Linked DNA regions of Saccharomyces cerevisiae S288C. Changing the gene in region 2 together with the main gene of any one other region gives a genetic interaction. Each region holds a gene or a part of one and is shown on either strand. Other genes may lie near its edges.

Region 1 (4,033 bases), on a different chromosome or scaffold from region 2:
ATTCAGAGCTGGTCTATGGCACCTTCGGAGTTGCTTATTATCGGTAACCATAAGTATGTTTTCCATACATTGCGGATGCCTACGTTTTGTTTGCATTATGATATCTTTCTTACATTTATTTAAACAGCCATGCACTTTCCATTCATCCGTTAAAATATAAAAAATCTTATAGATTTCTCGAACATACTAATTGGCCCTTATCGTTTTCCATTTTGGTATGATGTTTCTATGGTTTGTATGTGGTTAATTTACGCCTGATCACCTTATATCTTCCGCTAAACTCTCTACTAAACATTAGAATAACGTATATGAAATTTTCAAAAAATCGTTGTGCATAATATCACTCTACACGTTACCTTTTTAGTGTAATTTTCGTTCATTTCGAATTGAAAAATGAATCTGAGATACATTTTCAATTTTCAAAATGTACGGATTTAAAAGTACAGGAAGACATTTACTCTAGAAAGATATACATAGTGATAGATATTTTATATGTGCAATTAGATTCTCTTCATTATACACACACTCTCAACGTGGTGCGTTTGTGGAAAGAAATCAAATCCTCTTATGCTTTCAATCTGGTGGGCGGAACCGTTTTCTGTTTCTTTGAGGAAGTACTCGACATCACGTGCCTGGGAATGGACATTACACGATATGTAAATAATCTTGGCTGGATTATATGCGGCTAATTGCTTTAGGAATAATTCGTCACAGCCCTTGCGTGGTGGATCCAAGATAACGGAAGTGTTTTCACTTGGAGTATCAATAGACTCAAAGAGTTTCTCAGCCTTTCCAACGATGAATCTACAGTTTTCAACACCATTTGCCTTTGCATTTTTTTCTGCAAAAGAGACACTGTCAGCGGAAATTTCTACACCAATCACTTTATCTACGCCCTTGGAGCTGCATATACTGAAAAGACCTGATCCACAATAAGCATCTACTAGAAACTTTGTTTTATTATCATCACCTTTAGCGGGAGCTTGCAAGTTATCACGGACATACTTGGTCACTATTGGCAGGATAGAGTTATTATTTTGAAAAAACTCACCCGCACTAAAATTAAAAGTATATCCATCAACATATTCAGTGACAATTTGTCTAGGATTGGTAACGCAAGTTTTAGCCAGCCTGACATTGTTCTTTTTGTCTTCGACTTCGACATAACTTATATCACCATTTTCATCCCTAGAGGCTTCTTCGGTTAACTGTTCTAAAGTTGGTTTGGAAGGGTCTAAAATAGTGGTATTCTCTCTCAGTAAAATAGTCGCGCCTTTTTTGTAGTTTTTAAACTCTTGCTCAAACTTTCTTCTTTCATTAGTCAATCCTTTGTTGAGAACTTCAGTTGCAAGCACACATTCATCGATATCTAATATCGAACCATGTCCGCCGATATCCAAAGTATCTTTTCTCCATTGAGGTCTACCCTTTTGACCAAATCCTAAAGGAGGCCTTACTGATAGTTCCTTTTGTTTTCTTTTTGGCATATCGAAATGAGGCGTAATTTTGGTCCTGTAGCCAAATTGTAAAGGGGAAGCTACGGTGGTGTCAAATGGGGGTAAAAGTTTTTCAGCAACTAACCTTGGTGCGAAGAACTTGTAGGCATTCATAATTGTTTTTCTTTTCAATTCTAGTTGGTCATCGTAAGTTAAGAACTCTAATTGACTTCCTGAAGATTTCCCGAAATATTTATCCCTAATTAAATCATCTCTTCTCATTGGAGATTTTTCCACTACGTCTAATAAATCACTCTCGACATAGTAAGGGTGGGTCTTAAAGACTTTGATATTAACTACATCACCGGGCAGGCCAAACGGTATGATAACAACTTGCTTCTTTTCTGTTTCAACAGGATTATCGATCAAAGCCAACCCGTTGCCATTGGAAGTAATTTCTAAGACCTTGACATTTTTTACCTCTCGGTGATATTGTAAGACGATAGGTCCATCTGTTGAGGACTTATCATTTAGAATTGAAGTAACATCGTTCAGAACCTGCTCCCTGGACAAATTTTGAGATTTTAACAAATCGTTCACTTCAAATTCTAGGACACCCATCGGAGAAGTTGTTTCAACCTTTTTGGCCTTGTACTTTCTCAACTTTGGCTTCTTAGTCCGGCGGTTACCAGAATCTGTCAAAGGAGACGAAAGCCTTTTGTTGTCAACGGTATGTTTCATTGTTGGTGGTACCATTTCAGTACTTCCAGTCATGGTGCTGATTAGTTTATAATTATGCTTCTTGACAAAGTTTCTGCAAGCGAAAAACCTAGCTTTAAATATAGACTTCTGTACGGTCCAAAAGCAACGCATGCATGTGATAATACTCCAGCGTTTTATCGATGAGATGAGATGAGCTTTATATTTAACCTTATTGTCTGAATTTTCGAAGAAAAAAAAAGAAAATTCAAACTGTTCGTACATAATGACTTTGTCCTAAACTATTCCTCTAAAATAAAATGACAGATTTGTACTTTTATGTCACAGAAGCTTTTATTAAGTATTTAATGTAATTAGGCTAGATTAATATCGAATTAGTACTTTATGACATCGAATTAAAATGAATTATTATGATAAAATTGGGATAAATTCGAATATATTGGAGCGGTATATCACACCAGATTCAGAAAAATGGAAGTTAAATTAAATCAGGTTCTAATTGTTTCGTCTTGATAAATAAGATAGCGGAAGATAGTAAAATGTGTGTATTTTTTCTTGCCACTTTTCAAATGTTGTAAGTGCGTACAGAATGGGCAACAGAATAATCTTCATCATTATTCTTACATTATAATACACTTGTTTTTTCTTAATCTTTTCGTTCCGGAAATAGAGACGCTGGTATCTCCAGTAGAAGAATCGATATCTGATCTGGTGGTATTTCTTTTAAAGGGATTTTTGATTGTATGTGTAGGCTCTCTGGGAGCATATAATGAATCGGAAAGTAACGTGTGTATGGCAGTTTCAAATACTTCATCGATATTTTCTTTCAATCGTGCTGAGCATTGAATATGTGCAAATGCCCCCAGACGCTTGGCCAAGGATTCTGCTGAACTTGGTTCCACCAGATCTGAAAGGTTATCAGCTTCATATAGATCTGATTTAAGGCCGACTAGCATGATTGGAGTGGAAGGACAAAAATGCTTAACCTCTGGGAACCAGAGATCTTCCACATTTTTAAGCGATGTCTTACTACCAACAGAATAGCACACCATCAGCACATCTGCATTCGTATATGAAAGCGGTCTAAGTCTACTATACTCTTCTTGGCCGGCAGTGTCCCATAATGCCAATTCTATAATTTGACCGTTGGGTCCTTCTATGTTTGTGACATAATTTTCGAAAATAGTAGGAATATAATCAGTCGGAAATGTTCCTTGGACATAAGATATCAGCAGGCACGTCTTCCCTACAGCGCCATCTCCCACAACAACAATCTTTAGGTGATAATCTGGCAGTTTGTTTGTACGTTTCATCTGCTCATAACTAGGAATGGTAGAAAGGCTTCTAGCGAATGGAGTAGGCAATCTGGGAAGATTCTTTTCATCTAAAGTGCCAGGTGATTCAGGAAGATTGCTACTTGAGGGCGATCCCTGCGAAACTATGTTACTTTCGTTCCCACAATTGCCACCTTTTCGCTTAAATAATAGTGTATTCATGAAAAAGCGTTACTATTGGAGATTTTTGGACCTATTTGACTTAAGTTTGCTGTAACTTTTGAGGGATGCTTATCATGTCTTTTGTCGTCTTAACGTAAGGCTATAACTACTTAATCAGATCATCCCGAATTGATGCGCGGAAGGTCGCATTGTACGGATTCTAATAAATAAGCTAATGAAAGGTAAACAAACATTACATATAAAAATTAACAGAAAGCATAGAACATAGAAGGGCAATAATACTCGTTCAGAGCTTAAATTGGAAAGTACGTCAAAACGTTTTTTAGGCAATGTGCAAGAATGAGGCAAGACTTGCTAATGAGCTGATAGAATTTGTTGCAGCTACTGTAACGGGTATAAAGAATTCTCCCAAAGAGAATG
Region 2 (7,213 bases):
GCCGGAACTTAGTAGTTTTTGTAAAATAGTAGAGTTAGAGGTGATAGGGAAGGGAAGAGTAAAATCTTTACCAGAATACACCTTCACTGTCATTAGTCCGGATTCCGAACTCGGTCCCTGCGTCTCAGTAGACGACTGACTAGCTTTCCTTTCGGAAGCCTTAGAATTGTCATTTCCTATCCCCGATGGATTCTTGAAGGATGCATCATTACGTAATTTTGGAGAACTTAAGGAACTTGGGAGAGTCTCATTTGTATTGATCTTTCTTATATGGTGTTCGTGTTCATGATTATGATTCTTCGGGCTACCATCGTGATGTTTTTCTCCATGGTGGAAATGAAACAGGCCATTACCCCACGATTTTTCATTTTCATCTTCACTACTCCCATCATCTTCTTTGGACCTTCCTAACTTAAACTTGGATATTCGCCAGGAATGCATGTTACTATATGTATATTTGTATACGCGATAATTTGACCCAGTTGAACAATTCTGGTTTAGGAGCACTTTGGCTGAATTTTATCATTTTATTTATAAATCTAAGGATGACGGCCATTTTACAGATTTCTCGAGGGAAATATAATAAAAAACTCGGGGTAGGTAATCTGAATTCGGGGATACGCTAATTTGGGAAAAATTCGTGAATTAGATATAATTAGAAACAGCACTTATGAAGAAGATACTGCGATTAACCAAAATATTCTCCTCCTTATGAAAAAAAAAAAAAAAAGACTCAGAAACCTATGCAATCGTTTGCTAATATGTCGAAATATGGATCTATTAAGTATATAAAGTATGTGTTCAAAAAATTGAAATTTTCTTCTTTACCGTTAATATTCATTGAAAAAGGTGAAAATCATTAAGCCATTAGTAAATCATTCGTTTTAAGTACGAACCGTTGGTTCTTCAGTTCCTAAAACTTGTTTAAAGTTCAAGAACTTGATGACCGAGTTAATAATTGGCTTCAAGTATTCTTCAGCTGTCTTTTGGTATTGTGATTTATCATCGCAGTATTTTTCAATGTACAATCTAATGGTAGCACCTGAAGAACCTGTACCTGACAATCTTAGAACGAATCTTGCACCATTGGAAAGCTTGACATATAAACCTTGATGGTCAGAAACAGAACCGTCCAAATCTGTGTATGAAAAATCACCACAATCGGTGACCTTAAGAGACTCATCGGCTGGGAAGGCGGAATTAACAACACCCGATTTGGTAACATATGCTCTCAATTGATCGACAATCTTGTTAGCTTTTTCTGTTTCAACTTTTTCAAAATCATAACGAGTGAAGAAAGTACGGCCGTACTTTGCCCAGAATTCATTCTGTATCGTCTTAATAGAAGCTTCGTTCTCCGGATGATGCTTGTTGTAAATGGCCAAGATGTTCAACCACGCCATAATGGCCCAAACACCGTCCTTTTCCCTTACGTGGTTGGAACCAGTACCAAACGATTCTTCACCACAAATAGATAATTTTTTAGCGTCGAACAAAGCACAGAAAAATTTCCAGCCAGTTGGGACCTCATAACAGTTTAGACCATGGGCCTTGGCAACACGGTCTATGGCTCCTGAGGTAGGGAATGAACGGGCCAGACCATATATACCTTGCTTGGCGAAATATGGGATTTCAGCTGCATATTCGGCAATAATTGCGACGGAGTCACCTGGAGAAACGAAAGATGGGCCGTAACCGTAAATCATATTTCTATCACCATCACCATCGGATGCAGCACCAAACTCAATCTTTTCACGATCTACTCTTTTCACTAACGAACTGGCATAAGTTAAGTTTGGATCTGGATGCATACCACCAAAATCCGGAGAAGGATGCCAGTTTTGTAAAACCTCATCCGCCGGTAAACCAAATTCATCAACGAAAATAGCCTTACCGTATGGTCCAGTTACACCGTTCATACTGTCAAACAGTAACTTCCAATTCTTAGTAGAACGTTGATTATCGATGAATTTCTTGATTAAGTCGAAATCGAAGATTTCCTTCAAGAAGTTGACATAATCTTTTGTAATATCGATAATGTCAACGAGTAATGGACCGTATTTCTTGTTCTTGCCTATCGTACCCAAGTCTAGTTCTGGGAAGTCTTTGATAATCTTATAGCTGGTAAGCTTTTTGGAAATCTCCCAAATAGCATTTGTGACGGATTCAGGAGCAGGACCCCCATTGGATAAGTTATACTTAATACCCATGTCATTTTCTGGACCACCTGGATTATGTGAGGCGGTTAAGATAATACCACCAGTACATTTTTCCTCGTAGGTTCTCATGATGTGAGAAGCGGCTGGCGTAGACAGAAGACCATGCTGGCCAATAACTAACTTTTTAATACCGTTGGCAGCACCGATAGCGGCAATCTTATGAAGAATGACATCATTGTAGTAACGCCCATCACCACCGACAACAAGAGTGGCACCTTTAGAACCCTCTGGAATAGCTTCCATGATCGATTGAATGAAATTTTCTGTGTAGTTAGGTTCGTCTTTAAACACCTTTGTCTTCTTACGCAAACCAGAGGTACCAGGCTTTTGGTCTTCATATGGTTTGGTGGGAACCGTTTCAATTTGAAATGACATGTTATGTTAACTTTTGTTACTTTTTTTACTGAGAAAGATTGGTTGATCTTCTTCTTATTATCCTATTGTTCAAGCAACGCTGAAGAAAGACATGGAACACTATCTTCGAAAATGAAACAATATTAACGGTACCTTTTTATATTTCCCACATTGTTCGGGCGGCAGTCATCCAGATTCTGAAAGAATCAACTATTTCTTTTACACTTTTCAACCCCTGTTTGTTCCTGGAACTGCACATAACAAAAGTATAACGTCCCCTTTCACGTAAGTTCCCCACGAAAAAAGTAGTGCGCGACACCACCCCTTTTCGTGAGCTCCGCGCTTCTCTTCACCGAGCCTAAGTTGGGCCTCTCCCCCCTAGAAAGAACAAGTTGGCCCTGTTGTCCTTAGCTCGCAAGCTCAGGGGCAGCAGCGTGTGTTGAGATTAGAGAACCGCTCGACCTCAACGGATGATAGTATGATTTTAGTACATACAGGGAACGTCCTCTACCCACGTTTTATTGTTGTTGCATTTACTTTTGAACAGCGACAGGGGGGAAGGTGTAAAGGAGGAAAAGCAACCTGCATGGCTAGTGTTCAAAGTTACAAGGTAACAATGCAAATCAGTAGTATGACAATTATTTACCCGCTATTTATTTTTTTTTCTCTTTAACTGTGGTGACGAAAACATAACTCAAAGGATGTTAGACCTTTTTTAATTATTGCTATTGTTTGGACTTCCCCTACTGTGTTGTTCACCGCGCTTCAATAGCGTTTCTAGGTCCGGGATCTTTTCCCTCTCAAGCTCAGTTTTTAGTTCGGAGTCGAGTTTTAATTTGTCTACTTTCTTGATGCCGAGCACTTCAACCAATTTTGTGCTATCAAATTTCTTGTGCGTGTAAGGACTTATTTTGTTTTTCAATGAGTCAGGAAGCTCTGGGATTTCAAATTCCCTGGAATCATTGATCATCAGTTGGTGAATCCATTCCAGTAGCACCTGTTGTTGCCTGTAGACAAAAACCGTGGGTATTCTAAGAGGATCCTTTTTGTTTTCCTCTTGGTCTTTATTTAAAGAGGGAAGTGGGAGAGTGGTGTCTGTTGTTACTTCGCCTATGGGTTGATAGTAGTTGCCTAACGGAATCTCTGGTAGCTCATCTGTATCCATTGAATCTACAAATTGTTCCATAAGCTCATCGATTTGATGCCCGTCTGTTTCCTTTTTCAGCGGTACCCCGGATGTAGTTGTTCGATCCAGAAGTTTTGGAAAATCAGTTACCCTCTCGTCTTCCGCGAATGGTAATCTACACAAGGTAAGGCTCTTAACAAACTTCTTCTCGGAATTAATGTTACTGTGCTCAATTAGAACGGGACACAATGCACACATATTCACTTCACTGTCTTTCTTGCTCACATATCTTGCAACAGCAATTTTTCTATTTTCTAGCATAACATCCACTAGAGCACTGAAAGCCATTAAGTCAGATTGACAGCCAAGTCTTGTGTCGGCGGTAATGAAGGAGGATTCCGACGTCAAAAAGTACCTTGGAAGAGCTTCTCTATTCAAAAATCCTCTTAAATCCAAGCCTGGAAAAGATTCATATACAGTTTGATCGACTAGAACGGACGGTAGCACTACGTAGTCTGCACCATAACGGTATGCCTTCGTTACAGAGTCTTTGGAGATGGTCACGGGAATGTATGACGATCCAGACTGGTCATCTTCACTGACATTTTTCTTATTTCCTTCGTTGTGAATTTCATATTCGATTATGGATTTGACCCCCACATACCTTTCTTTCTTCTGGGAGTCTTCCACCTCAACAGCGGTTTTCCTATTTAAGCCTGAAACTGCTTTCGTAGCAGGAAAAGCCTCTACCTTGATACATAAGCAATTTTCATCTTGCATGCTGCCGCTAGGATTCGATGTTTGTGTTGATAATATATCTGCCCCTAACCTAAGCTCGCCTGAGAATACTCTTACTGGCTTAACGACAGATGTTGCTGGGGAAGTGATTTCAACAAGAAGTTCATTCATATTGTAGATTCTTGAATTCGGTATCGCTTCGACCAACTTTAACCAGTTCGATTTTTTCCTCTCCTCTTGAGTGTCTTTACCGCAATCAATCAAAATGATTCTTGTGCTTAATTCTTCCGTTAGCAGGTCTATTTCTTCATCAGTAATATCCAGATCATCTAAATTGTCTGTAAATACAACAATTTGTTTTAGAATTTTTCTTGCTTGAAATTGTTGTTTAATATCTAATGAGACGACCAACAGACATTGAATCATTGATTGTAAGCCTTCATTCGAACTATCATGACTGTGCTGATCACAATATTGTTTCAGGCGTTTTATAAACCCAATGGTGGCCGTCGTGGTAACAGGAGCCAAAAAGGATTGTATTTGGAACACATTTGGTATTTCCTGGGAATTCTCAGATACGGGACAATTAGCGAGATAACAGCTTATCCAATCTGTTTTTCTACTTTTTTTAGATTTGTTTAATAGAGTGTACTCTAGATATGCCATAGATTTGGAAACATTATTATTTTTCATCATTGATGGTGAAACATCCACGATGAAAGTTGTTGACTCACTTGACATTATTATGGTGTGAGATATATTATTTGTGCATATGTCCTGCACTCTCGTTAATTAGGTTTTCTTCTCTTGATGATGCCCTTTTTTTTTATTCATTTTTTTGCATGACAACAAATGCCCTGACGGACATGCGGTAATCTAGTTGAAAAAATAGTCAAATTGTGTCGACACTGTAAAAAGGTACTTCCGCTAATAGACTACAAACATTACTCCAAGACCAGAAACAGAAATACGTTACAATAGTGTTGTCGAATCCTGGCAATGGTAAATTGTTTTTAACGCCCTCCAACTGCTAATCTTTGGTTGACGGTACATTCATCTATTATAAGAACTAAATATATAGATTAACTAGAAAAGGCCAGATGTCTTAAGTGTATATATTTTGAATGAGAATTATGTATGCAGCATATTTACTTGAATCTTCAAAAAAAGAAGCCCTGTAGGGGGCTCGAACCCCTAACCTTATGATTAAGAGTCATACGCGCTACCGATTGCGCCAACAAGGCTACTTATTGTTATTTACCGTCAGCTTGTATTCTTATATGTTGAGCTGGTTTTTTATCTCAGCTTTTACTTTCTCAAAGTTAATAAAACTATTCTTCTAGAACTTTTTTTCTGGATTTCGGTTGCTGAACTAGTTCAACAAAAATATTTATTTTAAAATTAAACTGGTTCAAGGTCTCATAGTCGATCATTTCCAATCAATCAAAGCAACCCACAAATCCTAGGCTGAATCATGATATCGATGGAAGCAATCAACAATTTTATCAAGACCGCACCAAAGCACGACTATCTGACAGGCGGAGTTCATCATTCTGGTAATGTAGACGTGTTACAATTAAGCGGCAATAAAGAAGATGGTAGTTTAGTATGGAACCATACTTTTGTTGATGTAGACAACAATGTGGTAGCTAAGTTTGAAGACGCTCTCGAAAAACTTGAAAGTTTGCACCGGCGCTCATCCTCATCCACAGGCAATGAAGAACACGCTAACGTTTAACCGAGGGGAGTCACTTCATAATGATGTGAGAAATAAGTGAATATTGTAATAATTGTTGGGACTCCATTGTCAACAAAAGCTATAATGTAGGTATACAGTATATACTAGAAGTTCTCCTCGAGGATCTTGGAATCCACAAAAGGGAGTCGATAAATCTATATAATAAAAATTACTTTATCTTCTTTCGTTTTATACGTTGTCGTTTATTATCCTATTACGTTATCAATCTTCGCATTTCAGCTTTCATTAGATTTGATGACTGTTTCTCAAACTTTATGTCATTTTCTTACACCGCATATGATTATATACTAGAAACATGAATACTACTAAATAGATGATAAATGGAGTTTCATTGCAATGGTGATAATGATTGTGATTTTATTTGTTGGAATAACAATCAACTATCATCCATTCACTGGTATCAATATTACTGGTATATTATCTTATATGGTGTAGGAAGATGGCATAATATTGAGAAACGGCTATCGGATGTGGTAAAAGCTAAAATGCGAAGATTGATAATGTAACAGGATAGTGAACGACAACGCATAAAATGGAAAAAGAGGTAATATCGTTATTATGTAAAATTATTTGTGTCCTTTGTGGACTCTAAGATCCTTGGAAATTTAAATGACCGGAGAATGAGGTCGCTATAATAGTTTCTATACTCATGGAAAATGCAACCGATAAACCATTATAAATCTTCGCGGTTATCTGGCATTGTTATTAACCAAAAAAATGCCGGCCTATTACAAGCTACTGTTCAATAAATATTGTTGTAATGAAGACGGTCCAACTGTACAAATACAGCAAACTGTCATATATAAGGAGTCTTATGTGACAGCACTTGCGTTATTGTCAGCCGGAGTATGTCTTTGTCGCATTCTGGGCTTTTTACTTTCTGCTCAGAAGGAAGTACGAACAAGAAAAAAAAATCACCAATGCTTCCCTTTTCAGTATTAGTTTCATATTTGTTTACGTTCAAACTCGTCGTTTGCGCGATAACCTCTAAAAAAGTCAATTACGTAACTATATCAA

The links. Genes that interact genetically often act in the same process or in processes that back each other up.
Region 1: mutations in YKU80 (region 2) and TRM2 impair growth when combined (synthetic growth defect), as found in Saccharomyces cerevisiae (2 studies listed by BioGRID, with this or other methods).

The regions. Positions count from the first base shown.
Region 1 is NC_001143.9:547,835-551,867, reverse strand, and holds TRM2 (tRNA (uracil(54)-C(5))-methyltransferase), read right to left. Parts: upstream 2,421-4,033; coding exon 501-2,420; downstream 1-500. Other genes in the region: 40S ribosomal protein eS21 RPS21A, read right to left, coding at 188-211; Rho family GTPase RHO4, read right to left, coding at 2,777-3,652; DYN1 (dynein heavy chain), read left to right, coding at 3,943-4,033. UniProt on the Saccharomyces cerevisiae protein: Catalyzes the formation of 5-methyl-uridine at position 54 (m5U54) in all tRNA. May also have a role in tRNA stabilization or maturation.
Region 2 is NC_001145.3:475,013-482,225, forward strand, and holds YKU80 (ATP-dependent DNA helicase YKU80), read right to left. Parts: upstream 5,179-7,213; coding exon 3,289-5,178; downstream 1-3,288. Other genes in the region: putative protein kinase YPK2, read right to left, coding at 1-441; phosphoglucomutase PGM2, read right to left, coding at 885-2,594; YMR105W-A (uncharacterized protein), read left to right, coding at 3,052-3,246; YMR106W-A (uncharacterized protein), read left to right, coding at 5,912-6,175. UniProt on the Saccharomyces cerevisiae protein: Single-stranded DNA-dependent ATP-dependent helicase. Involved in non-homologous end joining (NHEJ) DNA double strand break repair. DNA-binding is sequence-independent but has a high affinity to nicks in double-stranded DNA and to the ends of duplex DNA.